3 linked regions of the Lepisosteus oculatus genome follow. The protein of the gene in region 1 purifies or fractionates together with the protein of each later gene. This does not show direct contact. Links are inferred from orthologs where the notes say so. Each region holds a gene or a part of one and is shown on either strand. Other genes may lie near its edges. The genes, in order: fgfr1a, CD44 antigen-like and ribosomal protein S6 kinase alpha-3.

What was found.
Region 2: the proteins of fgfr1a (region 1) and CD44 antigen-like purify together in Homo sapiens (affinity purification with mass spectrometry; 3 studies listed by BioGRID and IntAct, counting the BioPlex papers as one, with this or other methods). This does not show direct contact. The link is inferred for Lepisosteus oculatus from reciprocal best matches to the Homo sapiens genes FGFR1 and CD44.
Region 3: the proteins of fgfr1a (region 1) and ribosomal protein S6 kinase alpha-3 purify together in Homo sapiens (affinity purification with mass spectrometry; 4 studies listed by BioGRID and IntAct, with this or other methods). This does not show direct contact. The link is inferred for Lepisosteus oculatus from reciprocal best matches to the Homo sapiens genes FGFR1 and RPS6KA3.

Annotation. Positions count from the first base shown.
Region 1 is NC_090697.1:72,340,664-72,350,560, forward strand, and holds the start of fgfr1a (fibroblast growth factor receptor 1-A), read right to left. Parts: upstream 4,569-9,897; 5' UTR 4,552-4,568; intron 4,525-4,551; exon of another isoform or gene 3,818-4,524; 5' UTR 3,754-3,817; intron 1,802-3,753; exon of another isoform or gene 1,744-1,801; intron 1-1,743. UniProt on the Homo sapiens protein: Tyrosine-protein kinase that acts as a cell-surface receptor for fibroblast growth factors and plays an essential role in the regulation of embryonic development, cell proliferation, differentiation and migration.
Region 2 is NC_090716.1:14,173,483-14,183,908, reverse strand, and holds the start of CD44 antigen-like, read left to right. Parts: upstream 1-6,576; 5' UTR 6,577-6,833; coding exon 6,834-6,903; intron 6,904-10,426. UniProt on the Homo sapiens protein: Cell-surface receptor that plays a role in cell-cell interactions, cell adhesion and migration, helping them to sense and respond to changes in the tissue microenvironment.
Region 3 is NC_090700.1:4,619,776-4,629,265, reverse strand, and holds the start of ribosomal protein S6 kinase alpha-3, read left to right. Parts: upstream 1-4,896; 5' UTR 4,897-5,090; coding exon 5,091-5,375; intron 5,376-5,589; coding exon 5,590-5,706; intron 5,707-7,041; coding exon 7,042-7,123; intron 7,124-9,490. UniProt on the Homo sapiens protein: Serine/threonine-protein kinase that acts downstream of ERK (MAPK1/ERK2 and MAPK3/ERK1) signaling and mediates mitogenic and stress-induced activation of the transcription factors CREB1, ETV1/ER81 and NR4A1/NUR77, regulates translation through RPS6 and EIF4B phosphorylation, and mediates cellular proliferation, survival, and differentiation by modulating mTOR signaling and repressing pro-apoptotic function of BAD and DAPK1.

The sequences.
Region 1 (9,897 bases):
GTGCATTATACACATTATATGTTATGTCTTGTAAAATCGTAGGAAAAAAAACTTCTGAAGATTTATCACTGCAATCTAAGGTAAACACTGGCAACAACAAATTACATTTCAATAGCCCTATGCGAGAAAAGAAATGTGAAAATTATGATTCAGTTTTGAAACCATCGTACTTTTGCCAGAATACCGTTGAATATTTTTGTGAAAAGTTTCAACTTTGAGACAATCTATAGATCTATTTTACCTATAAGACTAAAGCAGACAAAAACAAACTTTGGCTTACTAGAAATCGTGTTTTTACGTGCTTAGAAAACAAGCAAGGCTAAGTGTGAAGAGTCTCTTTCCCCTCTGGCCAGGTGAATCGGCTTCTTTGATGCCTGGAAATTCAAAACAAACGCCCTGCAGCTGGTTTTCAAGAACCTTTCGCAACGCAACAAATCGCTTAGAAACGATTCTGAATTCTGTTCATACATAAAAAAAATGTCTGTCGTCAACAGGTATTTGCTGTCTAGTAAGTTCTTATCAGAATTATTTGTAAACCGTGTGCAGCGTGCAAGGTCTTGCGCTATCTGCCTCACAGATCGGCCGGGCGCGTTGACGACAAAGTCGCTCGCCAAACAAACTGAACGGACGCAATAATCCAAAGAGCTAAAAGATGTCCGAAGAGGAAAGAAAAACGCGTTACACATTCCCTTCCACAGCTCTATTACCCGGAGACTGGATCAAAGAACGTCACACACATTGTGCACCTCAGTCAAGTGCGCTTGTTAAAAATAAATTTCACCCGACAAACACGGCAAAATACTTCAAAATGTAACTCAGCCGTGGCTATTTAGTCATTAGGTTGCTCACTTTGAAATAATTACAAACGTCGCCCTCTTCACCTGAAATTCAGCTTAGACAAAAGCACGTGGTTGTTACTTTTAAGTAATTTTGTGAGGTTATTACCGTCAAATTGTATCCTGCATTCCAAAAAGAAACGCTCAGCTACAATATCTATAAAAGGAGGAACAATAACTTGGACACTTCAGTTTTAAAACACCAAAATCTGTCATCTCTGCATAAACCTTTTCCCCTAAAAGCCTAGCTTTAGGCGAGTTGCTGCGTGTGCGGACGTGCCCTTACAAATAAAAGTAACGTGAGGCAGTACAGTTGTTAAAATGCCTCTATCTCAACCTAAAACCTATGTCGACTGTCATTAAAACAAGTCCTTGTCCTGTGCTTACTGGAAAACTGAGAAACATGATGGTAAAAAAATCCTCAGAAACCTGTCCAGGTCATTAAGTCCCGCCAAGCCAAAGGACTTTTCCAGGCAGATCTCTCCTGCACAGAACAGTACCGTAAAAAGGAACTGATATGCACAGAAATGATTGTTCTTCAAAAAGACTTCAGTTAAAAAAGGAAACGGAGAAAAAACTGCATGTGAAGACTTTTATAAAACCCTTCGCGGTAACTTTTCTTGAAGGTTTCCTTTAAAGCTTTACATCATTGGTTGTGAGCATGACAACAGATTATTCAACTTAAGTTGTGTGTGAATGCTCAGTGTCTCACTAAGACCCTGTAGTAGAAAACATTTTGAAAACTGATACAGTTAGTGATTCCAATGGACATATGAACACAAATGGAAAGGACTTGAAGTTAAAATATAACATAGGCTCTCTTTTGGTAAGGTATCAGGTACATACGTGCTCAGATCATCAACACTGTAAACGTCTAGTTTTAAAAATAATAAAGGTGTCCCATTACCATGCCTGGGTTCGACCCTTTTTCGGTGCGTCATTCAGTTTCAAACCCCCGTCCCCTCCCCCACGAAATCTACTGAAAACCACCAGAAAGTTCGCCAGAAACCTGGTAAAAGACGCGCTACTTGTCACGTCAGACTCACGACGCGTTGTTATAATACCGTACAAAACAAAACAGATAAGGTCATCATTGACAGTCTTAGAGATTTCAATATCTTAACAGTAAACGCTTAAGAATTACACCTTGATACTGCTCTTACACTTAAAAGGGATCGAAATCCGTGTAATGGACCAGGCTTTGCTTGCGATTTCAACATATCATAAATTGATATGCAGTGTTTACACAACAAGGGTACATCAAGAGTGTTTTGGTCATCTGTTTGTAATACAGGCCCTGTCGGCGTTGGTCACTCATATTTAGCTCACTCGGGTCAAAGCGCCTTTTCACTGTTTTCTTCAGGGCACGTTTTGGTCATTGCCCCCTTAGAGTTACGTTAGTAAGCCCTTTTTACAACATTTCCTCCTCGTTTAATCCTTATAGAAAGAAAAAAAAACTAAGAGATAAAACATTAGTAGGTAAACAGACCCTCCGGCGATAGTTTTCAGTTTTAACAGTAGAAGCGTTACAGTGCTGACGCGCTTCTGTAAAATCCATCTTCTACTACTCGTTAAATGTGGAGGGAAACGGCCCGCTGTAATAGTCATTCGTGAGGGCTGAGGCGCTGTTAGAATTAACATACTAACAAAAATTAAATTAAATGACTTACTAGCCCAGTACTGCCTTCATAACCCCCACCCCCCACTTCTGCTAGAGCCCTGTGCCTTCAAGTGACCAAACGCAACAAGTGTTGGGACTCCTCAGGCGAGCGACTGACACCACGCTGGTCCACAAGGCAACGTGTGAAATGCCTGTGATCCGCCTGGAACAAATGGATACAAAAGCCAAAAGGCCAGGCGCTTCACTCAGCGTCACGGGGGATATCGAGAGAAACGCAGTTCTGAGATCAAGCTAGGGGAAAAAAAAAAGTTTCCAATTCAATCCCTTCTTTAGTTAACCGTCCCGCGAGCCAAAAACCTGACTGCTATTTTCCATGATTCTTTCTGGCTCTGAAACGTCTTAGGCATCCCCCTCCCTCCCCCAAAAAAGACTTTCCCGTTAAACTGGCCTTTAAAAAACTCATTCGTTGCCGGCGATACCTCGATATGCCAGATCATTTCAACGAAAGTTAAACACGGCACAATGAACCCCCTGCTCGCAATAAAAATTAAACGGGTTGTCCAAACGCGCTTAGTCGACACTCGTTTTGAACCAAATGAGTTCCAATTCCCAGTATTTTGTCTTCCGTACCAACAAATCGCGATGTATCACTAGAACGTAACAGCGTTTGGTTTTTAAATTGCATTTACTTTAGACAAGGCTATTGACGGGCATTCGTTTTTCGAATTTAACGTGTTAAGTATCTCTCACCTCAGGGAATACCAACAGTCCGGTCACCCGCTAACACTTTTCCTGTGTTAACCAAGATTAATTCTTAGGCTGGATGTCATGACTGCATTTCTTTTACGGGTTTAACTAAATAGGTACTGTGGAGTCCAGAATTTCTTTCTAAAACCATTTATACCACTTAAATAAGCAGTGCACGTTCTGTTTCATTACGCGTTCTACATCTGGCATTGATGGACATTAGCCAAAACACAAGAACTCTTTTTTTTCCAAGAATATTAGCTTCAGGCTACAAAGCATACGAAAACCACTGAGACTCAAAAAATTCCGTGCATCTTACGGGAATATTTACGAAACACATTATATTCGCACTATTTCTTAAAACGTGTGAAACTGCAGAATTACATAAAAATCATATGTTGGACCGGGGCAGAAATATCCTTTGTATTTTGAGTTTGTGTTTAAAAATTGCTCATAAAATTATGAAAACTTACGGATTTTGACAAATTCTTGACATCAGAATTAGAATTAGATATTTTCTCACTCAGTTATAGTTCCAAAAATAATTACCTTTTTTGCCAAGTAGTTCCAAGACGATGCGCCGCCGGGATTCTCACGGAGAAGAAACTGAATCCTTATAAGACGTTAGAAAGTTTGCATTATTGTAGATCCAGTACCAAACAACTGGCTTGGTATGTACCAAAAAAAGCAAATGCCTTCCGCAAAGTTAATTAGCAAATACCGGGGAAGGAGAACCAGACGAATCGACAAGTAGCTTTCTTCTCCTGAAAATCAGAGCTCAGATCATAGGTTAAAAAAAAACTTCTTGAGATTAGATCACAGCAAAGCCGCGGAACAGCCAAACTACGAGTTTCTGTTAACAGGAGAAAATATCGTATTTCCCCCCTATAAATCAGCTGGTAAATACGCAAAGTTTGGAGAGGGAAAAGTAATCTTCGCAGAAGCTCATGAAACGCCGTGCACCTTTTTTTGTGGTGATAACGTGAAGGAGAAAAAAAACTGCGCTCCACTTCTTTATTGTTTGAAAGAAGCCAGATTCCCACAAAGATAACCGTCTTCCAGATAACTTTTTAAGACAGCGTCTGAGATAGGCTCCTATCAGCTCCTGAGCTACTCAGGCTGAAAGTCAAATGAATTTTGATACATAAAAGCTTGATGATTCAGCCCCGTGTCTAAATACGCTGTATCTCCTTATTTCGTTCGCTCCTCCGAACTCATTCACATCGCAGATTGTCTGCGACCTCCCCCCTACTGTTCAAACGCTCCAGAAACAACAAGAGCCGAACTAATGGAAACCTGCCCCCTACCATCATACGGAGAATACATAATCACATCGACTGAGCTAACCTGCCTCCGAGCCATCCTCCAACACCTCCATGCCCAAGTGAGACTCAACCCCCTCTGCTTGGCATTCTGGGATATGTAGTTTTTAGCGGAAAAGTAAACCAACATGTCAATACTGCCGAACTATTCGGCATATACACTCAGTATATGACCCAAACCCTGCGCATGGTGATTCGTTCAGCGACGAACTGCGAAGTATCCACGTTTTTCGTTTCTATAATACTTTTCTCACGTCCATAATATGAAGAAGTAGGCTCACAAATGTTGTTTACATCTTAATTATAGTGAGTTTTGTTACCTGTGTTCTCACAGACCTCTGTAATTTAGATTGAAGTTATCTTCTTGATTTTTCTTCTTATCACATGTCCAGCTAGATGTATGAACACGGGGGAAATACGCAAACCCCACACAGACAGTACCGCACGTCTGGAAATGAACCCAGGGCCCCAGCGGGGAAATGCAGCTATGCTAACCCACTGCGCCACCGTGGAGTTTGTTTGAAATGTCATTAATAATCTTAAATATTATAGAAACTAACTTATCGGATGTGGTTGTATGAAACTGCTCTTCGTGAAATACAGTACTGTAATGCTGATACAGACAGCATAATCTCGTGCATCTTGACATCAAAGGAATTAGACTGCATTTTAAGTATTGTATAAAAAGACGTTCTATAAAAGATTGACCATTTTTTATCAACATCTCTCTGAAAATGTTGTTCTATTTGGCATTGCTGAAGCTCCACCCTTTTCAAAAATGTGTATGAATGTAGTTAAAAATGTAGTTAAAGCAACATAAGGGTCAAATACGGGATGGCAACGCCACCGTGTTAAATATACAGAGGGTAAGGAACTGTATATATTCTTACTAAAAATTGTATGTACTTTCTCACTGAATATGGTATGTTCTGTCACTAAAAACTACTTCGGCGCAACAACAGAATAATAGAACAGAATAAAACTCCATTCATACTTTTGTGTTAAAACCAGAAACGTCTTAAAAAAGCAGCTGAGCATCGGTCGGTTTTGCAAACAACACAGCTGAGGCCGAGGGCGACAGGTTCAACGAATTTGTTGATCGAAACTTAATTTACTTGATAACTTGATTAAACAAAAACCGTTACAGGAAGCCAGTTCCGTTCAGTAACCCAGGCTACTCAGATAAAATTAGCATTATATGAAACAAGGTTGAATGAACACATTCATTTCGTATTATTCGAATCTTACAATCATGTCAGGCATCTCGGGTGCCTAATCTTTGATGAACCACAAAGATAAACATATCAAGTATGCTATATTTATACCACCTGACGATGTTTAATAATTATAATACCACCCGGCGATGTTTAATAATTGTATTAACAGAGGTTAACCTTTTTTCAGTTATTAACCACGCTAAACGGCTCCGTAATAGTTTGTGTCAGTGGCTCTGTTTAATTACTTGCCTCATCGAGTTCATTATTTTTAAACGGTCCAAGGCTGTTTTGCACAGTTTACAAGAGGTCGACTGCAACAGTCGTACATCAAGATGAGATGATGCACACGTACAATTCAATTCAATTTAATATACATTGACTCTTAGCGATACCAGGCCTATGTATAAGTAAAATTTTCACTTTGAAAATTCAGACCAAGTCTAAAGTACAGATAAAAAAAGCCTAAACTGGGGTTTACATTTAGATAAGAACCTTAATCTGTGGATTAAGTTTTTTAACCCGTTCCCTTCGATCGTGCTAGCATTGCTATTATGAAGCACCATACCTCTGTGGTATACGTTGTATTTGACGTGAATTTCTTCTCCGTTTCGAACAGGTAGTGGCACGCATTGTCCGCATGCTTTAAAGTATTTATTATAAATTGAAACGTGAAACTCCAGACACTACCACATGCCTTTTAAAATATGACTAAATCCAGATAATAACCCCAAATGCAGTCTTCCTGTGCTCTCAATACGTTTTGATGTATGTGCGCCTCTGCCAGATGTTTTATTAGAGTGACTGATACTAGACAGGACTCGTTTTACAGACCTTCATCACAGCCAGATGTAGCCAAGTTATTTTATCCTTCAAGAGCACTTATATATTTAAACATATCTTTTATATTGAAGGATATATTATGTGTGTAATTCTATAATTTAAATATTTTTATGACGTTATATATAGCATATTTTAAAGTCACACCTATATAATAGGAAAATTACAGTTTTATTACGCATGGTAAAATTATTTCTCATTAAGCGTATTATACTGTGCATAAAATATACTAAATAAAATAATCAACAAAAGAGTGTCAAGGAGAGGAATGTCACCAAACTGCAGGATGAAATACTGTACATGTGAAGGGGAAAGAGGTTGCATAAGAAAGGACAGCAAATTCTTTTTTTTTTTTGCTTATTAGAAGTTGGAAACTATCCTGAGCTATAAACTATCCTGGCCTTAAGTAGTTCAATTAGTTCACACCTATAATAGAGTCCAGAGCCAAAAAGTTGTCTTTCTTTTCTTCTCTTTTCAGCATGTATGAACCTCTACTTCTTCCTTATAAACTATCCTGCTCACCTAAGAAGAAGAAGGCATTTAAACCATCCATTATTCTTCCTTTTATTTATAAAGTGGCTTTCAAGACATTAAAACAAGAACATACACAATAATCTGACTGTAGTGCAATCAGATATAGATATAGATATAGATATAGATAGATATAGATATAGATATAGATATAGATATAGATATAGATATAGATATAGATGGAGCTGCAACAGAAAAGGCACGGTCACCAATAGTGAGAGATTTAGTCCTGAGTACAGTGAGCAAAGGACCAGCCTCAACAGACCAAAGCCTACAGGAGTGTAAACATGGAGGAGCTCAGAGATGTAAGATGGTGCCAGATTGTTTAAAGCCTTCAAAGTTAGAAGATCTCATATTTAATACATCATTTTAAAGGCGACCAATGTAGAGATTTAAGTGTAGGAGTGATATGCTGCCGAGATCTGGTGTGACTTAGAGGTCTAGCTGCAGAGTTTTGGGCTTATTGGAGCTCACTGAGAAGAGTGTTAGGGAGCCCATAGAGTAAACAGTGGCAGAAATCAAGCCTCGATGGTATAAATGCATGAATCGGGCCCTCAGCAATCGGACACTGATAGAAATGATCTAATGCAGGCAATATTGCTTAGGTGAAAATATTAGTCTAATTTTTCACGTGCGGAGCCAAAGTCAGGAGAGGCCCAAGTGCGACTCCCAGTTTCCAGAGTAAGGCTGATGCCTGAACGGATAAGCTGTCCGTGATAACTGTGAAGCTCTCCAGGAGGCATTAACTGCCCCCCAGTAAAAGTTCTGTTTTGTCACTATTTAGCTTCAGGGAATTTGATGTCAACAGAGCTTGACGTCACCGTCACCCAGACAAGAGATACGTGAGGTCTGTGCGCAGTTCAGGATAGGGTGGGATTAATGAGTCTGGGCTCCCCCGGCTCTTGGCAAACATAACGACGGACAGGTTAGCGGACGCTGCCAGCGAGGGATGCAGTTGTCCTCCAACCAGCAGTGACCTTTGGGTGCCTGTGACGTGGTAAAGACAGGGGACTCAACGGCGAGCTGTGTGGAGGAGTCTGACTGCGCCCCCTCATTCTTACAAGCGTGCAGTGTCAGAGGTCGTAGTCACGAGTCCAGACGTGAAAAACACACAACTGGAGATTCTAAAATTGATAAATATAATAATAAAAAATAACTAGCAATTTAAAAAGTTAGGTAAAAAAAGAATATGGAATCTTCAGGGACCAGTCACTGTGCAAAGAAAGAAATGCTGTTTACAAATGTCAGCACACATTTCTGCAATCTACCACAGTTACATTATAAATATTACTAATATAAAAACATAAGTAATAAAGCCCTCTTTGACTGGTTCATAGTTCTACATGCACTGCTTTGTAATTTAAGGCAGAAAATCCAAATATTAATTGAAAATCGTTAAAAAAACACCAGAAAACACTTTCCAAAGAAAATTTATAACACATAAAGTACTAATGGAATACATTTCTAAGGCACGTTTAACACTTCATTTACACACAAATTGCATTTAGTTTCCTCTGGTGTGGGGGCAGCTGTTCAGAGCCCAGAGAACTATGAGTAGTTTGTAGGTCTGCAAAAATAAATCAACAGGGACCAGTAAACCATCTTGAAAAACATGAACATGTTACAAGCTTCTCATCTGAAGAAGAAATTATTTCTAGCCACATATACATTTCCTTCAAAGAATAGAAGTATTTGCTTACAGCCATTTTCCGAAACGCCAAAAAAGCTTAAATAAATGTCTTTAATTGTCCATTGCCATCTGCCCTGTTGCCCTGGAAAGCAGACAGAATGTTCTGAATGGGTCCCATTGACTTACTAAAGAGGGCTTATCAGCAAATACTGCAGCAAATAGAGGTAGCAATGAGGTGTGAAACAGCCCAAGGCTGGCTAATGAGCAGCATGAGAGAGAGAGGTGGGGAAGGCACTGGGGGTGATGGTCATCCAGACTTTCCTCTGTATACGGTCCGGAGGTAACAGAAGAATGTTGCAGATGGCACACCCCTGCCTGGTGCCCTGAGTGTTTAATGACATCTTTTTATTCGCCAGTGCGTCAGTGAAGCTCTAATGGAGTTATTGCCTGTTGTGGACCCCCTGAGCAAGTGTTTTTACCTGGCTAGATGCTGGAACTGCTTGATTTGTTAACACAGTACAGGGAACTTAGAGGGGCATGGGGCACTACTAAAAGACTGCGGAGGGGACTGGCTGGCCTGGAGGCCAGGGGGCATCTAACATGTTGGAAGCTCTCTCAGACAGTAAAGTTTGGATGCAGCTCTCTCTAATAATACTGCATACTTAAAGGGAGACTGGAAACTCAGTTTTTCCTGTTCTTTAGGAGGCCATATGTCTTGTACAGGAAACCATAGTCTGCCTATGAATTCCTGATTAACTTGACCCCAGCACATGGGGATATGGTCCCAGCTGGCTAATGGCATACAGTTTGAACCAGTGTTCTCTTAACTCTACAGCACAGTATTGCTCTAAGTCCTTTAGTGATGTAGCCACATGTGTGCCCTCCTGTTTTAATGTTTCCTTCGGTGGTCATTAAGTTGTGCACACTTGCCAGAGCAACACTGTTCAGGCTCAGGAGAAAGAGGAAAGGATAAGTTAGCTGTCCCGGCAGCATCTCAACATCCCCAAGCAGCATCTTTCTAAAAAGAAAAAGTTAGTAAGAAGTGAGTACTGCAATGGTAGCACACGTAAAAAACGAGCTTCCATATTTGAAACGGGGCCATTAACTGATAAACGCATTGCCTACTTCAGCCCACAAGGTATTCCTTCTTCTTCTG
Region 2 (10,426 bases), on another chromosome or scaffold:
CTGAAGTGACTAAATAATTAGTAAACTTAAGTAAAGACTTGCTGATGACATGTTTTATTGTCAATTGTAGGATTTCAACACCTTAGTATATTATTAACAGAGTAATATTAAACAAACAGCCACATTCTAGGAGAAGGACTGAATTCTTCAGTTCTGCTGTATTGTTGTGAGGTATTTGTGTTCACCACAAACACAAAATACAACAGAGACATCTGACCTCAATTTTATTTCACAAAGACTGCGGGATTTATAGGTCAATTGAAATCCTCACCTCCGCAGAATGAAAGCTAGCAGCTCTGTCCTAGAGATCAGTAACTAATAAGATTGAGATCCTTTTTCGTGACCAAAACAAACTGAGCTGCTATGTGTCCTTGTTTCAGTTCCTGTCTTCTCCACACACTCCACATAGACACACACCTGTTTGTCCCAGTTTGAGTGCCTGTGGTGGAGTTGTCCTTGTCAGTTAAAGTTGCTGGAGGGCAGCTTTGAGACGGTTTTTAGAAGAAGTGCAAACATTCACATGCAGGTACAACAAAGGGATCTAGTACAGCTGTTTCCAAACAGGCTTTTTTCTATAAAGAGATAGAGAGCACAGAATAGTTCTCTTGGTGAGGTCAGTCTCTTGGTGAAAACAGTTGGTGAGTTGGCTCTGTAGTTGACAGTTCAGTGCTCACCTGTTGACTCTGGGTTTAATAAATACAATATGGTCAATTATTATGGTGTTTGCCACCATTTTCTCTCTCAGTGTATCAATACAGTGGATCACTCAATGAACTCAACTACTCAACCAAGGAAGTGGGAGCTCTCAGGTAGACTTATGGGCAGAAGGAACCCATTCAGGCTTTGACAAAACGGGAAACAGATAGGCAAAGTGCGTTGTGACCCAGATGAGGGTGGGACAGTGCTTGTGGAACACCTGGGGTCGCGGCCCAGCCTCTTCCCTGGCCCAGAGATTCCTTGTGCAGTTATATTCTAAGGGTGTAAACGGTGCAGAGAATCAATTAGCAGGCATGGTTTTTCAACTACCACACCACAGGGGGACCTGCCACAGAGACCCAGCTGAAATCATTGTTGTTCTGGCTATGAAGGACAAAAGTATCACCTGTAGTCCTAAGTAGTCCTGTGCTTCAGATCCACTGTAAATACCTTTCACATGATGCTCAGTGGTAGGTTTCATTTCACTAGAATTATTCTTATGGAAATAAACAGAAAAATATAAAACAGGCACATGTTTCTAAAAATATACATGCATTAATTGAATCCTGCTTAAATCAGCTAAATAATGAAATGCTAAATTAAACAATGCACATTTATACAGTTTAAAGTAAGAGTACTTTCACAGTACAGTATATAAGTTTCATTTTAAAAATAACCATCTCCACATAAACTAATTATTTTTTAATCCACACCTACTCTCTTTAGTATGCAGATTCAAAAGATATGGCTGCATTTGCACTGAGGTAGAATGAGGGATGTGAAAAATGAAGAATAAAAAGAGGAGATCTAAAAGCTGAGACAGGAGCAGGTAGGGCTCAGTAACAAAAGCCACAGCATTGAATCAATCACAATGCAAACAGGATGTTCTCTTTGCTTTTGCCACAGTTATTTTAAAAAGCTGTTGCTAGGATGATGACAGAGAAAGGCAGTTGAGCCAGAATGATTTCTGTCTGTTCCTTGTGCGCTATATTAGGTGTATAAACTAGCTGCCTAATTTTACCGTCTTGTATGTCAGTAATTACTTCATTGATTACTTACTCGTTTTATCAAAATTCTATTTAAGATCACTCTATTGCCTATTCTAGTTTACCAAAACTATCGCCGTGAGTATTTTAAATCACTTAGAAGAAGATTTACTCAAACATTAGGACCTGAAAATGTGCAAAAGGACAGGCTCTAGAAAGTGGCATAGAGATACTATTTTACAGTATTGATTTATTTTTAAATGTAAGGCCTTTAAGTATTTTATAAAATCCTGGTTACTCTCTGGTTTCCTTTTCAACTCTGGTTTCAACTTTTAGAACATTTGTATAGGAGTAGTTTAGGACAGCTAACCAGTCCTATTCCAAAATGTCAACTGAAAGGTCCGTTGCGCGTTCTTGGGTAGACGAGAAAAGAGAGAAAATGAAAAGGTCAGTATGTAACACTAGGACTCCATTTCAGAACCAAACCAGAGACCCTGTGACATAACATAGTACTGTATACTGTTTAGTGCACTAGACTATGTCCCTCCTATTCACATCATTTGGTCTTAGGGTCAAGCACTTTTTCAAATAATAGAACATGACTCTCAAAATGTAAAAACTTTGCAATTAAAAATTATTCCAAAATTTTCAGTGAGGATAGGGTTCATGAAAGAAGAGCCATGCTGTTATATAGTAATTACAGGATCATGCTTTTCTTGTTTCAGTAATTGACTTAGTTTTTAATGAAGCCAATGTATTCCCCAGAGAAGCCATGTGCAGTAACCTGCCACTTGTGTCACTTAGTGTTTCATTTCATGTCAATATCTCTCTCTACCTGAAATAATGCTCCCCTCATACATAGACTCATTGTACTCACATTGAAAGCAAAGCAGACACTCTAATAGAAATATGCCTGGGATATTCAATGCATTTCTATTTCCAGAATGCATGACATGCTTTGCAGTTGGCTTGAAATTTAATGTTTGATTTCACTTCTTTGCAGGACAAAATATTCTTTGCAATACAGGACAAGAAGGGCTTTGATAATTAATATGATTATTTAACACATTGTGTTTAATAGAAAGGTGAAGTACACTTTACCTTCAATGACATTTTGCTCAAGAAATGAATATTATAAATATAAGACATGCAACAGTAAACTCGGGTTTGTATTTATCCTTGTCTCTCCTTGTCTCCTTGACTATGTCAGGAATTTGATATATCAGTAATGATGGAGTACTCAATCTCGAAGAAAAAAAGAGTTCAAGGGGACCTGATTCAAAATCTTGGAGAGTGCTGGAAAGTCAAGCCAGTGGACTTCTTTTAAATCAGCTATGACACTTAAAACAGATGACACAGATGGAAACTAATGGAAAAATCAAATTTAAAAAAACCCGTAAGTCTTTTACAGAAAGGGTTGTGGTTTTCTGGAACAAGTTATCCAGTCATGTTACTGAAATCCAATTGTGTTGCTTCTTTCACAAAGAATCTGGATGACATCCTTGGATCTATAAGCTACATCTAGTTAGATATTTGGTACTGAATTATCTCTTCTTATTTGCCAACTTTCTTATGTTGTGTGTCTTTATTTTAAATAGCCTTACCTATTATATTGTCTTATACGTCTGCACTTTACTTGATGAATTACTTAATTCATCCTTAAAATGACACCCAAACTAAATAAAAGAGGCAAAAAAACAAAAGAGAAATACAAAAGTATAAAATACACAGAGAAAATACAAAACAGACCTTGACCAGCTCTGCATTGTTCAGTCTCAGATTTCTGGAACTCTATCTGTGTGATGACAATAATACCCACTCCATTTAGACTAAATGTCTTCACTTGAAAGTGATAAGAGTTAATGAAGCACATTAAGTAAGTATTGCCTTGGTAGGAATGCCTAGAGGTCTTGACTATTATTGTGCCACCCAAAGCCTTAGTGATTCCACCTAGAAATGCATTAGTTTGCCAAGATTGGAGATTGGGGACAATGAGTGTTTTTAAATTGACCATAAATCTACATACAGTAACTATAACAAAGGGCTAATGGTTCACCTTGACCATGTTGGCATTCAAATGCAAAGAGCTTCATTGCTATGACAGATGAATCATGGTATTGACAAAGAGTAACAATTTACACAACATTAACAGACATTTCCAGTAAAAATGTTTTAATGAAAATCCCACTCTCTGATCCTCAGGCTGTGCCAGAAGACCACGTACTGGGCTGCCAGCTCTATTCAGTTTTCCCCCTCCTTTCCCAGAAGAATTGGAAGCTGTCCTGATTCTAGAAGGAGTGTTATTTCTGGGATTAAAATAATTATTTTAGGGAAATTCCTCATGAAACCCTCAGCGATTATAACTCACACTCTTACAATTTCCAGGCAATCCTTAATAATTACATGTACAGTATTTCAAAACAGGAGATCAAGTAATATGCATTACGCCATTTTCCCTTACAATGCTAGAGTGGTTTGTTTACAGTAAATATTAATCAAAATAAAAGACTTTCCTGAATCTCTGGCACACTGGGATCGATTAGCCAATGGGTCAAATGCTGGGTTTACAGTTTCTAACATCACCTTCTGGTGGTCCAGATTTTTCTTTTCCTTAGAATCACGTTTTTAACAGATTAAAGTGTTCTGGCTTGCTTTAAACAATTCTCTTTCACACTTTTAAAATACAAGTCTGTGAAAGTCATTCTTGAACTGGAAGAAAGCCAGTTTGAATGTTATGTGAAGGTGATCTGCACAGACATAAAAAAGTAGACAACCATCTTCTGGGATTACAGATGTTTACACACCGGACGGGTAATAAATAATTGACTTCATTTGTATTTATAGATGTTTTCCACCAATAGTGGATGTCATTACGAGGAGCCACAGAGGAAGACTAAAGAATCCTCTCTTAGTGGAGAGGTGCTGTATCTTGTGAAATGTTTTTAAGTTTGTGTCATTTACGCATATAATCTCCAGCAATGGGGGGGACTCAAGCAGTTTAAAGAAATATTCACAGTCTTAAAATCACAGGCAGCTGTTGAAGATCCTAAATCATACTGGCAAAGTCAACACAATCTTTAGGATGAGCACTGAAAAATTGACCCAGGCTATTCTTGTGAAGGGCTGGGTAACCAAATCAAGCTCCTCAGTCAGCATAAGTGGTTACTGAAGGTAACGTGAAAAAGTCATAATTTTTTTGTTTTAAATTTATTTTTGTGTTTGATTCTGACCATGACATTGTTCTTTAATATCACGTTTTAGGTGACAATTTTTTTTTCAATCTGGTGACTCTAACATGACTCTTTCTTTCCACTGCCTGGAACTCAGCCTTGTAGCTGCCAACTGCTACAGTACATGTACATGATAATCTGTATCCAGGTGGCCTGTAACAGACCCAGGGTCTGGAGTTTGTTAAACTCCAGAAGATGTACTTAGATTTTAGACCAAGTTAATAACCCTCTTATCAGTGCCTCCCAGGATAAAATACCTAAAGACTAAAGGACAATCCAGAACCTTCTTTTTCCACATCATCATGGTCAGTCATGGTGTCTTGGATCCACAGTGATTTAATTTCTCTATTGGGGAATTTGTTTTTTTTCTCTCTTCCAAACCCAATGACCTACTACTTTAAGTGTACATATAAAATCTGATCAAATTTATTAAATGTGCTTTTGTTTTTGGTTTCTACTAAGTGGAATCTCTGCCTCTTTTATTTTTCAGGTATCTGCTTCTGATAGTGATGGTTAACTAGTGTGTAAACATCTCAAAAAGCTATTAATGATCAACACAAAATTAAATCAACTACCTTATCAGACTTGCTAGTTCTGTGAATGGATAATAAATATAGTGTGAGAAAAAGACAAATACTTTTAGATGTTATTTACAACTAACACATAAATCTCACACATAAAATACAAGTGCTTAGGCAATCCCTATGGTGTGAATTTAGGTACTGTATAAGTCTGTTGTATTAAGGTGTAGTACTGTTTGTGAACTTCCAAGTACTTACAATCCACAGTTGTGCTAAAAGCCTCCGTCTGTATCTTTTTGAAACTCATTTAGAGATGGCAGAAAATGCAGAGGTACCAGTCATTTGTCTGAAAGCTGAATTTATTCTATTCCTAAATGTTTTGTGGTATTCTTATATCACTGTGACTTACTGTAGCTTATTAAATAGTTAATACTGTATTCTTTCTATAAATGATGAAGTGACACCCAATGTACAGCCACAATAAAAAGCACGTAGCACACAGGAGCAGGTTGAATATCATCAGGGTACAGAAACGGCACTAAAGGAGGTGTTGTACAACACAGGAGGAAGGATCAATAATCTACAGGAGTCATCCTGTTTGATGAAAGGGGTCCAGAAGGAGGGAGATGTGGAATGCTTGCAGTTTTCCAGATTTCATTCATTCACACTCTGTGAATGGATGACTATTTCAACTGAGATCACTGTAAAAATAATTGAGGACGCTGGTTTAAGACAGGAAGTGATCGCTAATCAAAATCTGAGTATGAAATCCAAACCATGCAAATGTATTTACTGTATCTCACTTGGACCTTGAACACATCAAGCTGTGAGTAATTTAAAGTTCAATGTCTCAGCTCATATGGTCAAATTTGGTGAATTGAGAGTGATTAAATTGCCCCAGATACTACTCTCTTCAATAACTACTTGATGAAAACAAAGCAAAGAGATTAAATCCGGTCCTTAAAGTAAACATAACAGGGGGAGGGGCTGACAAGTAAAGGAGAAAAAGAAAGAAAAGAATGGGTGAAGTTTTGAACTGCACAGGGCGAGGTGTTTGACCAGGATGACACTCTGTTATACACCATGTGATAGAGAGGGAGGGGGAGTGGGAGGGAGAAATGGAGGGAGGGAGAGAGAGCACCTTTTTGAGAGGACTCCTTTTGTCTGGGTAACATAAATGTGTTGCTACCAGGGCAGGAGAGAGCTGGGGAGAAAAAAGGGTGTGAACGTACCAGCCTCCTCCCTTCACATGTGTCACTGGCTGAGTTAAGTCCCTTCTCACACAGAGAATATAAAAAAAAAGTTCAGTGAAAGTCTCCAGCGGCTTCACAGCTACAGACCGACACAGTCACTCAGACAGCTCAGTGCTCTCTCACTTGTTGGAGACAAGAGGAGAAAAAATGTTTTGGACCTGCTTGCTCTTTCTGGCTTATGGATTAATTGTCTTTCCCAGTTCTGTGAAGACACAAGGTAAGCCATTTTGCTTTTATTTTTTTTTTCTATTTGGAATTTAAATGCTTTGGGCTTTTGTGTGGAGAGCTGGGTGTCTTAAAGCAGGGATGCTGTGACAAAAAGCATGGATTCTACTGCTTAAAAGGGAATGAATGAGAACTGCAAGGCATCAGCTACATAGACATTCTCAGTGGCGCTCAGATATCTGTTGCTGTGCTTGTGTTGGTGCCAGGCTGGCTTTAGTTATGCCTTTGATGTGTCCAGGTTTGCCAGGGACTGGAAACAAAAGGGATTTTTCTGAGGGTAGTTCATTCGAATATTAAATAGCCAATTTATCATTGTCACTCAGTTTATAGCATTTTTATGTTCCAGTATTCAGCAGGTTCGGGGACAGAGCTGCTGAAGTGTTCATACCTGCCTTAGCAATACAAAGACATATAGCATTTCATTTGTTTCCTTTCGAGTATTGAGCGCAGATAGAATTTGGTACCAAAAATCAAACAGGTTGGTTTGATTTTTTCTTCAGCGCCACAGCATCCAGACTGGCAGAGGGCTCACTGTATTGGCCACTGGAATGGTGCCAAGGTTTACTTGTCTTAAGCAGTGATTTTTGGACGGTGGAGGGATGGGGAGGCATCTCATTGAAATTCCTAATGGAATTTACATTTGTTTGGCATTTTAATGCCCAATGAGCTCTGCTGGGATTTCAGCTACTATCTAAAGAGGTCATTGATACAAAAGTCCAGCTGGCTTTCCTTTCCATTAAATGGCAGAGATTTGGATGTTTAAAAAGAAGAATCAGGAGGTGCTGACAATAATCTCCTGGACATTTTGGTTTTGAACTCCAGTGAGGCTGTACTTCATTGCTCACACAATGGAAAAAAAGGTTTCTGCATCTCCAGAGTCACTGTTTTTTTAGACTGAACTTCACTTCTTGAATGAGCTGGTTCAGTTTAGAAATGCTTTCAGAAATTAAAAATGTCTTTGAAAGGTAAATGACTTAGGAGATCAAAGTGTGAATTTCACAAAACTTCCAATGGACATCTCCTGAATACACATTCTAAACCTGATAGATTTTCTAATATTGGTATTAGTAATGTTGGTGCTGTAACCCAGACAGAATACTCATCTACTGTAAGTGATTTTATTGTTGCTTTGGTCACAAGGCACCCAAAATAGCCTGTTTCCACTCAAAAATTATGGTTTTATTTTACTGATGCTTTTTTTCAAGTCACTTTGTATTTTTACCCATTTATAGCACTTTAAATTTATTTTAATTTAGTGTAGTACCTTACTCAGCAGTTAAATAGTAGTGCCCCACCAAGAATATGAATCAACATCCTTCCCAATATGTGTTCTGAGCCCTAACCTAATCACTACTCCACACTGAAGTGTGAGAAACTAGGTCTAAAGTCTTTTACAATTAGTCATCAATCTTGTCCAATCTCATACCTGTACTCAAACAAAGAATATATTACTTTCTCGATAAAAAGAAAGTGTTTTTTTTTCTCTGTGGTTCACCCGGTGAATCACACTACACAAAACAGGCCAAAACAGGTAGGTACGACTCCTAAATGGCCAAAGCTACCAACACTTTTCCATTATGTCAGACTTTGGAAAAGGGAATAATGAAAAGACAAAACATAGAACGAAAAACAATCACATTTTCTGAGAAGTGTTTCAATACTGTTTGTGGAAAATGTTTTTGGGTTGCTCTGCACAGTTACAAAATTTAAGTGAACATTGTGAAAACATTTTGGTTCTACAAATTCCCCTCCATTTCCTGGGTAGTACTATGTTTTCTGCAAAAATAGTACCTTATCACTACATAATCAATCACACTGAGCCTAATGCCTTATATTTTTCTTTCTTTTGTGTTGTCTTAACTTATCGCCTTTTATGTTGTTTTAAGCGTCTTTTGAATTAGAAATTAGAAGCCATGTGTTAATGTGGAAATGAGAAGAAGTAATTATATCAACTTATATTCAGCATTTCTACTTCAAACACCACCGTCTATATCCAACACACAATACTTGCATCACAATGTTAAAGTCAACACATTCTGTACTAACTTGTTTATGCAATATTCAACACAAATTCACCGAGATGTTTTCTGTGTTCCCAATCTGTATTTCAAAGATGTATTTGTATGTAGGTTCAGTTGTATGAAAACATACTATAACTGTTGGCTATGAACTGTTGAGAAGTGAATCTTAATCCAAACCTATTTCAATGACTGTCTTATGGAAATCCTTGGAAAGACAAAAAATAGGAGCATCAGGTGCTTTACCTAAAAAGATTCAATGTCCAGCACTTTTGACAGACAAGGTGAAAGTACAAATTCTGGAGAAGGAAAGATGTTTGAAAGCCGCTCATTGGGCAGGTCTGTGGCACAACAGCTATCCATGACCTGAATGGGTTGTCTCTTTCCAAGCTTGTGTACCATTCTGTGTGGAGCTCTGCTGAATTTCGGAAGCATTGCCTCACAAGTCACAGTGTCCTGTTGATCATACATGGTTTAATGTTGTTATTATTATAGTAGTGGTTATGGTATAATTATTAGTTCTATTATATGTAGATACAGAGGTGTGGCATTGGTGCATTAATATTTTTTGTACACTGCTTTGAAAGCAATTAATCTGGAACATCTCAATAAGATCATATGACTAGTATTGTTCACAACCATTACGGAGTTCAAAGGATATTACCTCCGAGTACTGATCAGCTTGTGGATGCTTAGTCTGTGGAAAATGGGGAAGTACTGCATGTATGAGTAAATATGCAACATGCTCTGAAAGTTATGGTTGTTTCACTATATCACCTATAGTGAATAGCAACATCATTAGTTATCATCAGGAGCCTCAGTTCAATTCTGGTAAATGTTGTGGTGAAAAAAAATAAACATGAAGATGTAGGCTCAGAATAAGTCTGTTAATGAGCAATTTGTGGAGAATACTTGTGTAGTATGTCAGAAATATGTGTGTACACAGGATATCATATGTGCTGAAGAGCATTCTTTGTCAATTTCCATTTGAGTATACCAATCTTATAAAACAGCCAGAATCCAAAGGCAAGGTTCTTGCATTTTGTTAGACACTGCTTGCTGAGAGCTCACATTTCAAGGTGCTTTTTTTCTAAGTGCCTAGCCAAGGTAACAAAGCAGACTTTAGGAAAATCACCAGTAGCTGAGTCATTCCTCATGAAAGCAACATACACACATTCGCTTGGTAGTCTGAAACCACATAAATGACCCACTCTAACAGAATTCCTAAAATCCTGTGCATTAGATTTTAAGCTCTTTTTTGGTTTACGGTCTCGTATTTCTTGCTTCTCTTGATTAAAGATTCTGATCTCCCTTCAAATGGACTGAGATGAAAAAATCTCTTTCATGTTCTTATCCATAAATTCCATTAAGTGTACTGCAACATTTAGAATTTTTCTTTAATGCCTCTCTTCACTTCATCCTCACAAACATTTTTAAAATGCTGCTTTATAGAATCTTAAAGACAAATACTTAATGCACATTAAGCATCAAGAGGCT
Region 3 (9,490 bases), on another chromosome or scaffold:
TTCCGCGGGGAGCATGTGAGTGAGATTATGGGCGTCGGCGGAGGGAAGGGTGCTGTGATGGATCGGGTCATGTGAATTTCTGTGGGTTTTGACACACTTTTCAGGAAGGCTCAGACAGGGTTGAGCCACTCGCAGTGCTGCTGTAGTTCAGCATCCGGGATTGGTTGCTCACAAGTCTTGCACTGAATTCCCAGGCGATCTCTCTTTTGCTGGTTTCATTTGATCTTTTTACAGTCCGCCCTAAACCCTTGTTTCTCTCTAGAAACGGAAGTCTTCCTGTCGCTTTGTTTACACCGTGGACTTTCATTTTCTCCTCGTGGAGAACTCGGTTGGCAGGGGAGGTGGATTGATGCTGCAGAGGTGACAGCCGGCGCCGGTTGAGTCCAGCGCCTGAGCAGACGCACCGGATGGTTAGGGCTCAGCATGGAGGAATAGGAAAGTGGGTTGGGCGCCCCCTTTTGTGGCACGCACGGTCCAGCTGTTTCTGGTGCAGCTGGGTTGACTTGGGTCAGTGATTTGTGAGTGTTTGAGTTGGGTCCCCGTCGTAGTCATCTCTGTCCAAGACTAAACTCCTTCGGCCTGTCAGAGGCGAACGCTCTCTGTGGGGCCACGGGTGTATCTGGTTGCTCTTCCCTGGTCTGGTTCCAGAGCAACACTATCTCCCATGCCCGGGTTGTGTTTCAGTGCCTCTGGGCAGACGTTTCAGAGTTGTGATGTTAAGGTTTCCTCCGGGAACTCGGGCTAGAGACCCGCGGCTCGCCTGGGGGCTGGTGGAACCATCTGGTTCAGCACTCCCGCGGGGCACGGCTGCAGCCATTTCAGTGGGCATAAAAGAACTGCTCACATGGGCTCACCGTTCTGCTTAGCAGCGTTTTTATTCTGTCGGGGCTTTCTCGCGTGTCCTGAAAATGTCGGAAGTCAGCTGAGGTCAGCGTGTCGGTAGTCCGCTCCCTCTGACTGCAGCAGCTCTTTTCAACAGTCGTTTTCTGTCACACCTTTTGGCTTTTCCAGTAGTCTCAATTTGCATTTGGCAGGTTTTTACAGGAGCCCTTTAAAACATCAGTTTCTAAAGGCGTGGAACAACTTGATCAAATAAACAGGTGGTTCATTCAGTTCAGTCATTCAGAGATCATTGGGAGAAAACATCAGCTCTCAAGGATCAGTGTTCCCTTCGTTGATACTTCACTTGCTTGACTGATCAACTGCCTAAATAAGTGTCCCTAATCCTTATCAGGTCATTTAAACTGACCTGCAGGAATAATGGAATTGGGACCAGGGTTGGGGACTCCTCGTCTGTACAGAATATGCAAATTCTTCAATCCTCCCCTGAAGCTGTTGATTGTGGAAGATGTACTACTGTAGCTTCCTGCATGCCTGCCTGTGCAGAGAGGCACGTCTGTACGAGTTCTGAGCCCAGCCTGTCATCACTTCAAGAGAACAGAGCTCATGCGGGGGGCCTCAGGGTGGGCTTTCCTGTGTGGCTCCTTTTTACCAGGTGATTGCTGGTCCCTCGTTTTCCTGAGCCGAAGGATGTCTGCATCGCACATCTCTACTTCCTCTTGGAAGGGCAGTCACAGCAGAGTTCAAAATGCAGCTGCTTTTTGGCCATATTCTTTCTTCTTTGGTTGTATTGCCCAGATATTCTTTGTCCTGTGCTGGGTCACTTTTTTTTTTAATTGAAAAAAGCAATTGTAGTCTCATGTTCTACCCTGCGTATCGGGCATCGCAGGCCATGGTACAGAATTTTGAAACAGCATGAGATAGGTCACGACCCGGATGTTATTGACGTATGCTGTATTGGAAAGATGCCGTTTTAAAGAACATTTTCAGCTTTACCGGTTTGAGCTGCAATTCGTTTTAAAATTCCATAAACAGGAAGCAGAACAGCTGGTCCTGGCAGAGATGAGGTCTGTCTGTTACATATTCTGTGATCTGTGAGTCTCGATGCCTAACGAGGTAGAGAGAGACAGGTAAACGATCCTGCTTCTGTCTTTCTGCAGGACCATCTGCCGACAGAAGAAACTATTTTTTTAAACAACAAAACAAGATTTGGAAGCACGTTTTAGTGTATTGTTTTTGCAAGCATGTCAGTTTAGGTGCGTTATTCTGTGTGAATCCCAGTCCCTATCAGGGTAACTTGGTGAATAATTTCATGAACCGACCATGCGATAAAGTTTTGAATTGAACCTTTCTTGTGCACTTGACTAACAACATGCAATGCCCTCTGTCAGCTCCCAGAATAAATGTTTCTTCTTAAAACAGAAAACACACTCTGGCATGACGTTTTATTGTGCAGAGGGTGGTCCATTCCTGCCTGTTGCTCGAATGGGTTCTGACATGTCTTTAGCGGAGTAAGAGAACTAATCTTCCCAGTCTGACACTTGCTCTGAAAATGATTAGCCCAAGGTCACTTCTCGTCAGTAGCTTGGCTGCACTTCAATAAACGCCTCAGGGCTGCCAGCCTGCCTCTGTTAAGGCTGTAGTCCAGTCTCCTGAGTCTTTCTGGGCCTGTCACCGGTTCCATCAGCAACTGCTCTTGGGGTGACAGGAGACTGTAGCAGGATCTCCTCTGAATCCGCTGTGCCTCATGGTTGAGACTTTGATCCAATCAGCATCGTTGACATTGTTGAGTGCTCCAGAAAGGTCAGAGGTCAGACACATTTGTTCTTACTGGACTTTTTCTGGAGGAGGAGAGTTGCAACTGCTAGCAATTTTCCCTTTTGCGTCATTTCCTAGGGATGATTGTTAGTGATCAAGAAGTATCAGAAGAGCAGTCAGGGTTGTTGTGGAGATGCATCTAGTTTTTATTGGCAGCTGAGTTTTTGGAGGAAAGGTTTCATTTGAACTGGTTTCCCCCCACAGGCCAAAAACATATTGGTAGCTTAACTGGCTTCTAGAAGAATTTGCTCTGGTCCGAGTGCGTATGTGTCTCTGTTCATGTTTGCGTGTGCCCTAGAATAGACTGGCATCACATCCTGAACCTTGAGCCCATTGCTTGTGGAGTTAGGCTTCATCGACCCTGAATTGGATGAAACGGGATGGGTGGATGGTCTCATTAGAAAATAAGCTACATAAGGGATTCAGGAGACAAACCAACTGTCCTGGCAGTTCTCTGGCATGGAGCAGTGTCGATGGGTCAGGGCTGGAGTCTGAGCTGCTGAATTTCCAAAGTACTTGCATTTTGCCTGGTCTACAGGAAGGATCCTGCAAATTCTGTTCCGACTTCTAGACAGGGTGACGTCTAGTGAAAGTGAAACCTCCTGAGGCCAAAGGCCAGCTCTCCTCACTGCGTCACAGGTTTCCCTTACTGACCACATGCAGGCTGAGACCTGCCGAGACGAGCACCTCCCCCCCCCCCCCCCCACTGCCTGAAGCAGAGTCTCTTTTTAACACTCCAGATTTATTTTGTGTGTCTGATCGCACCAGCGCCAAGAGCCGACGCGACTGCGTGACACACGCTGACATTTCGCTTAGACGTTCACATGCTGCATTCGAGCCTTGTCTCCGAGACCAGACGTGTGATCCCAGGAAAGATCGGAGGCATCTGTTGTGTTACTGTTGTGTTTCGCAGCAGCGGCCCTTCGGAGATGTCGTTGTTTTGCGGGTGGGTTTGTTTATCCGTCGCCTCTCCGGCTTTTGTGCAAGGCTTGAACGTTCCTCGGAGAGCAGCCTTTTTAATTGAATTAGCACTTAGCCGCTCTGTCGCGGAGAGGGATCGGTGAGCGCCGCGTGTGCGTGGCGGAGCGGGTCCGCGCCTCTCACTTCTCCTCTCCGCTTCCCGGCCAGGCCACACATCCTGGTGCGTCTGCTGCGCTCTGCCCTGGCAACTTCCCCTCCTCGCGCGGGAGACGGGCTCCTGCCTCTCTGATGGCAGCATGCTTGCGCTGCTGACAGAATGCAAACCGTATAGGCTGTCTCTGGGACTGCAGAGGATGGACAGGAGTGTTGTCGTCGCCTCTCTGTGCTCCTCGTGTGAATATCAGGTACTGTGCTTCTGCCAGAGGTCTTCTCTGCTCGGCGTCGTAGATGAGTTTCCGTGCGTGTCCAGGTTTTTTTTCTTTCCGTAGAGCCAATTACTGTAAGGTGCGGTATCTGAAGTAAGGGTCAGTGTTTTTTTTTAGATTAATATTTAGCTCCCACGAGGAGCAGCCTGTGTTCGCTGAGCGATTTCCCACATAAGATACTCGTTTGTGATTAACCCTTCACCGGTTCTGTGCTGTTACCCTGTGCGTGGCTCTTTTATCATGAGCGCTGTACAGTGGGTTGAGTCTAACAGACTTCTCATTTTTATGATTGAAATGTGGCCTGCTCTCCCGGGGATTAGTTTCACATTTACAATATGCATCTGTCCTAAATTGACTTCTTCCACATTCTCAAGGTTCAGCTTGACAAAGATGAGCTTTGCCTATTGTAAGGCTCCCTTCTGGAGTCAGATATCCATTTCCATTTATTGGGGAAAAATCTCATCGCTGAGGATGAACCTCTGAGAGCCTAGTTTAACGAGTGTAGTTCCTGGTTGTTTCTCGTAAGAGTCATTCATGCGCAGCGCACTGATCTGCAAACTCTTTCTGACGCGAGAAATGTCTCCTGCTCGTGCTGAGCATCTACAGATCACACCTTTTGAGAGAGAGACAAGTGTTTTGAGATTCTGTGCTTTTGTCAGTGTTCTGCTCACACAAGTCTCTTATCTCAGTACCACTAAGAGCCCTATAGTATCGGCTTCCTGATTCCGAAGGCATGCAGATGCCGAGATCTCCAGGTTTTTAGCCTTTTCCTCGGGGTTAGTATCTTTGTAGTTATTTGTCAAGGCTGCGTCGTACCTTTTGAAGTCGAAGCGTGTATAAAAAAAAGTTCCGGTGGCAGTGGGGGGGGGGCATTGTGTGTCTGATGAGGAAAGTGTGCAGCGTGACTCAGTGCTGTAGCTGTACGAGTGCAGTTTCGGACTTGGAGGTTTTCCCAGCGCAGGCGGGTGGCAGAAGGGAGACAGGAAGAGGAGGGGAAGCAGGAGAAGGCACAGCGAAGAGTTAACGAGAGAGAGAGAGAAGCGAAGGGCCCTCTTCCTTAGTCACCTCCTCCACTCCCACCTGCTGATGCCTGCGAGAGGGGTAGCATGGCAACAGTGTGGGAGCTGTCAAACGCGATCCTCCCCTGCCTGCAGGACTGCACACATCGCCGCCACAGCTCGCTGCCTCCATTACAGGCAATGGAGGATTCGGCCGCGCCGCCGGGCCCGCGCCGCCCGGGCTGTCCCGCTTCCTAGCCCCGCTCTCCTGCTGCCCCCCGGGGGCTGGGTGCTGATGGGCATGGGTGATGCTGTGGCACAGAGCAGCTCGCGGGGCAAGACAAAGCCGTGGGACGGCGGGACGGCCTATCACGTATGTGGGGGCGTGTGGGAGCGCCCGTGGTTGTTGGGGCGGGGTTCCTGGAGGGGGGGAGAGGGGAGAGGGGAGAGGAGGTAGGGCAGCACGTGCGAGGCTCGTCAGGCCTTCCTATTCCTGCTTTCCTCCCACCTGCTTTTAACACCGAAACGCGCTGGGCTGCCTTGAGCCGGGAGCTCACCCTGCCTTCTCTTCCCTGACTGTCGTCCAGGACGAGGGGCACGTCAAGGAGATTGCCATCACCCACCACGTCAAGGAGGGCCACGAGAAGGCCGACCCGCGGCAGTTTGAGCTGAGGAAGGTGCTGGGCCAAGGCTCTTTCGGGAAGGTGAGTGTGTGGGGGGGCGGCGGGGAGTGGGCTGGATGTGGTTTTAGAGAGAAACGCTTTGAGGACCGAATGCGTGTCTTGCAAGTGCACGCAGTACACCCTTTTATTTTTACTGCCTTTTTCAGGGACAGATAGGTTTCAGTTGAGGGATCTAGTCATGCACAGACCTGGTAATGGCGGGTACTCGATGGCCCTCAGAGACCACCCTGTGAGCAATCAGAAATAGATTAAGTGTGAGCATTGTTTACAAATCATTTCAACCATTGGACATGTGCAAGGGAATTGAGTAGGATTTTCAAAAATGTTCTTGTCAATTGCTTTGTTTGGATATGTGTTACAGCCTTTAAGGCTGGATGGGTGGCATGCATGTGACCCTTGACTGATTTTAGCTGTGCCCTCCACTGCTGTAGTGTGAGCTGTGTGATGAGCATGGAGATGAGCATTCTCAGCTAGTGGGGGCATATGGTAGTTAATATGACTAGGAACAAGTAAAGGTTTATTCCATGCTGAAAAGAGAAGAAACAAAACGCAAAGTTTCAGCTGTGGAGCCTTCTTCGGGTGTCAGTATTATTAGTCTTTCTTGGCTGGTGATAGCCATGCATGCCTCGTGTACGTTTTTCAGGCAGTGTGAGGTTTTTGCAATTGGACCTCTTCTTGTTTGTGCCGAGCTGAGTCCTGGGGCATCTGTTTACTTGCGTCTGGTGTCCTGAGCCCAGATCAGGGATCAGAACATCCTATTTGCACTGTTGCAGCTAACTCTGCGGATTTGCCTTTTAAAGCGTGCGTGCTTCGGCAGGAATTCGGCAAGCATGCAGCGCTAATGGCTGGCCCACAGTGGCGTCTCTGTCTCTGCTCTCTGGAGCTGAAAGGGCCCTTTATTCCAGGAGCATCACCCCGTGTCCTGCCTGCCTTGTCAGGGGGCCTGTGCTCGGATGAGAACTCATTAGCTGATGCACCAGTGGAGCGCGGATATGCAAGGTGAAGGGCATTGTCTCGGGGTGCTCCTCTGTGCCGTGTGGGTTCCCACCAAGTTCTCATGGGCCCTCCGGCGGTGACCTTAGTGCTGGTAATGACCTCTGAGCTCCACTGCCCCTCAAAGCCCTTCTCCTCTGCCGCCCAGCCTGGAGAACCCATCTAGGCCAATTTGTCTGACTCTCCGAACGATATTATTAATCAGCTGATAGCATCCAGTGCTCCTGTACACTGGTCTACTGGGGCTGCTGTGTGAGAGAACCTAGTCCAGCCTCGAGGACGTCAAGTGCTGAAAGAAGGACTCCCCACCCCACTTAGGCCATCTCTGCTGTGTCTTGTAACTTCTGGACTTGTCCACCACAGGTATTCCTTGTGAAGAAGATCACGGGCCCTGATGCTGGACAGCTTTATGCTATGAAGGTGCTTAAGAAGGCAACACTTAAAGGTAAATGTTTTCTTACTGTCAGAAATCCACTCATCTTGTCTGAGACACAGTCATGTCATGGTATAAGCAAGCAATGCTCTAAACTTATATTAATTGATGAAGTTACAATTCAGTGTCCTGAATTGTGTCCTCAGTGTTTTTGAATCCAGAGTTTTAAAGCAAGGCCAGACTGTTCAGGCCTTTAGTGCTGATGTATGCAATTTACGTGATCCAATATATCTTACCCTGTTGAGGCTGATGTGTTTTTCTTCAGAATAATGAGCATTTAATTTGTTTGTTTCTGAGGTTTTTAATCGGCATTTCAAACTTTTAAATATTGTTGTGGCAGCCTTTATAAGTATGGTATGGTAAGTCATTCACATAGAAAAAGGGTACAGAATTGTACACCTCAATTGTGGCAGCTTTCAACAAAAAAGCTGCAATGCCTCTACATTTATAATTTGATCTTTGTTCTGGATGTTATACCTCCTGTTAGCAATATTAAGCCTCTCAGTGCCCAAGGAACTGTTTCGGGTGTTTACTTTTTGACTACAGACTGATGTCAGCCCGATCCTCACAGCGTGACGGTGTATTTGTAGGACTCACTGCACATCTCCAGGCCAGTGCACACACATGCCTACAGTGCTGTCTTTGTGCACAGCTCTTTGTTTCTGGTCATTATTAACATCATTTCTCAGGGCAACACCCCCTCTGTTTATACATTGTGTGTCTGAAATAAAGCCTTGTCCCATATGTGGCCTCCTTTTCCCAGGCCTTTAATGTTTGAAATGACAGGAAGCTGCTTGAACTAGAACCTCTCAGACAGATTAATTATAGACTCCTGTAAGACAGAATGTTACTTCCTGTCTTGGTATTTGCCACAGTGTTGCCACAAGTCTTAATAGATATTGTGCTTGTGTCTGTGACTCTTCTTAATGCCTGATTGCATCCATAATTGCCTGATCACAACTCCAGATGGAAAGAGCCTTTCTTCTCCCAGTCTCTCCTTAGTGTTGCTAAGTACTCTTTGGAATCGAGCACAGCTTCCACTGTGGAGCGGTTTGGTCCTTTTTTGTGTTTAAGAACCGAAATCTCGTGCTAATTACACTAGCAAAGCAGAAATGCAGTGTGTTGGAAGTCAGCTGAATGTCGATCATTAATGTCATGTTCAAAGGAACAAAGAAAGTGTTTTTTTTTGGCTTCTGCAAGAGTTTGCAGTTGCTGTGTCCCCCGAAATGAATTATATCTCTGTTACTCCATTCACTACTAAGTTGTTCTGCTGATGTTTTTATCCAAACCTGCTTAAATTATACCCGTAAATACAGCTGGGCATTTTACTGGAGCGGTCTGATGGAAAGACCCTGGCCAAACATAAAACACTTGGGATCTGCCCCTCCAAGCTGCTGCCATCTTGGCACAGTTTAGAAAAGCTGTGGAGAGTTTCCTGCTTCGGGGCTGGATAGCCTCCACATGCTTTTTCTTTGTCCCCTGGTTTCTGGATGTCTCTTCTGGCCATGCCGAAGGAAAGTGCTGATGCAGACAGCAGTGAGCTCTGCTTCAGAATCTTTGACACAGCGGAGTCTGGGAATCGCTCTGAATCGGAACAGCTCGTAAACAGCCGGAGCCACAGCAGTCTGCGTCTGGCCTTAAATTGCTCTCTGTACTCATTTATTGTCAGATCATTAAGGTTAATCAACATCGGTGAATGCAGTGTCACTAGCAATGCAGCATGGTGTTTATTCCTTTCGCAGTACAGCGCTGCCCTTTAGAGGGGTCAAGACAGAGATGGAAGGAATTCCCTTCCGGCTTCATAAAGCACGTAAAAGCACTTAATATAAGAGTCTGTTTTCAGCAGCTCTGGGTTTGAGAGTGGCGTATTCTGCTCTTCTGCTGTGTGCTAGGTTTAGCAGTGAAACAATAGGCTTCAGCAGAGATTTGGCGTCTTTTATACCATAGAGTGACACAAAACACAGAGGCATCCCGATCGTCCCTAGGTACCAAAGAGACCAAAGACGGAGGGCAAGAGGGGAGGGTTGTCTTTTCTTACAGTCATTGAGTTGATGTTTTCAAACAGGCTGTTTCATAGTGAGCACCCCCAGAGAAGGTGACATAATCCAATAGGTTCCATCTTTTGTGAAAATAACAGCCGTTGAAGGGCAGTCTGGACCGGGCCCTAATGTGACACTGCCGTGCTAGTATCCCCTACCTGGTTTTAAGTCTCAAGCCTGTTTCGCTTTAAAAACCTGTTCAGCATCCTGTCCTCATAAAGCCATGTAAGCCATGACTGGCCATAGATTCTGTGAATGCTGCCACTTTGAATGGCACTGTGAGGACTGACAGCAATTTGGACACATTGAACAGATGCCTGTGCCAGTATTCTACCCAATT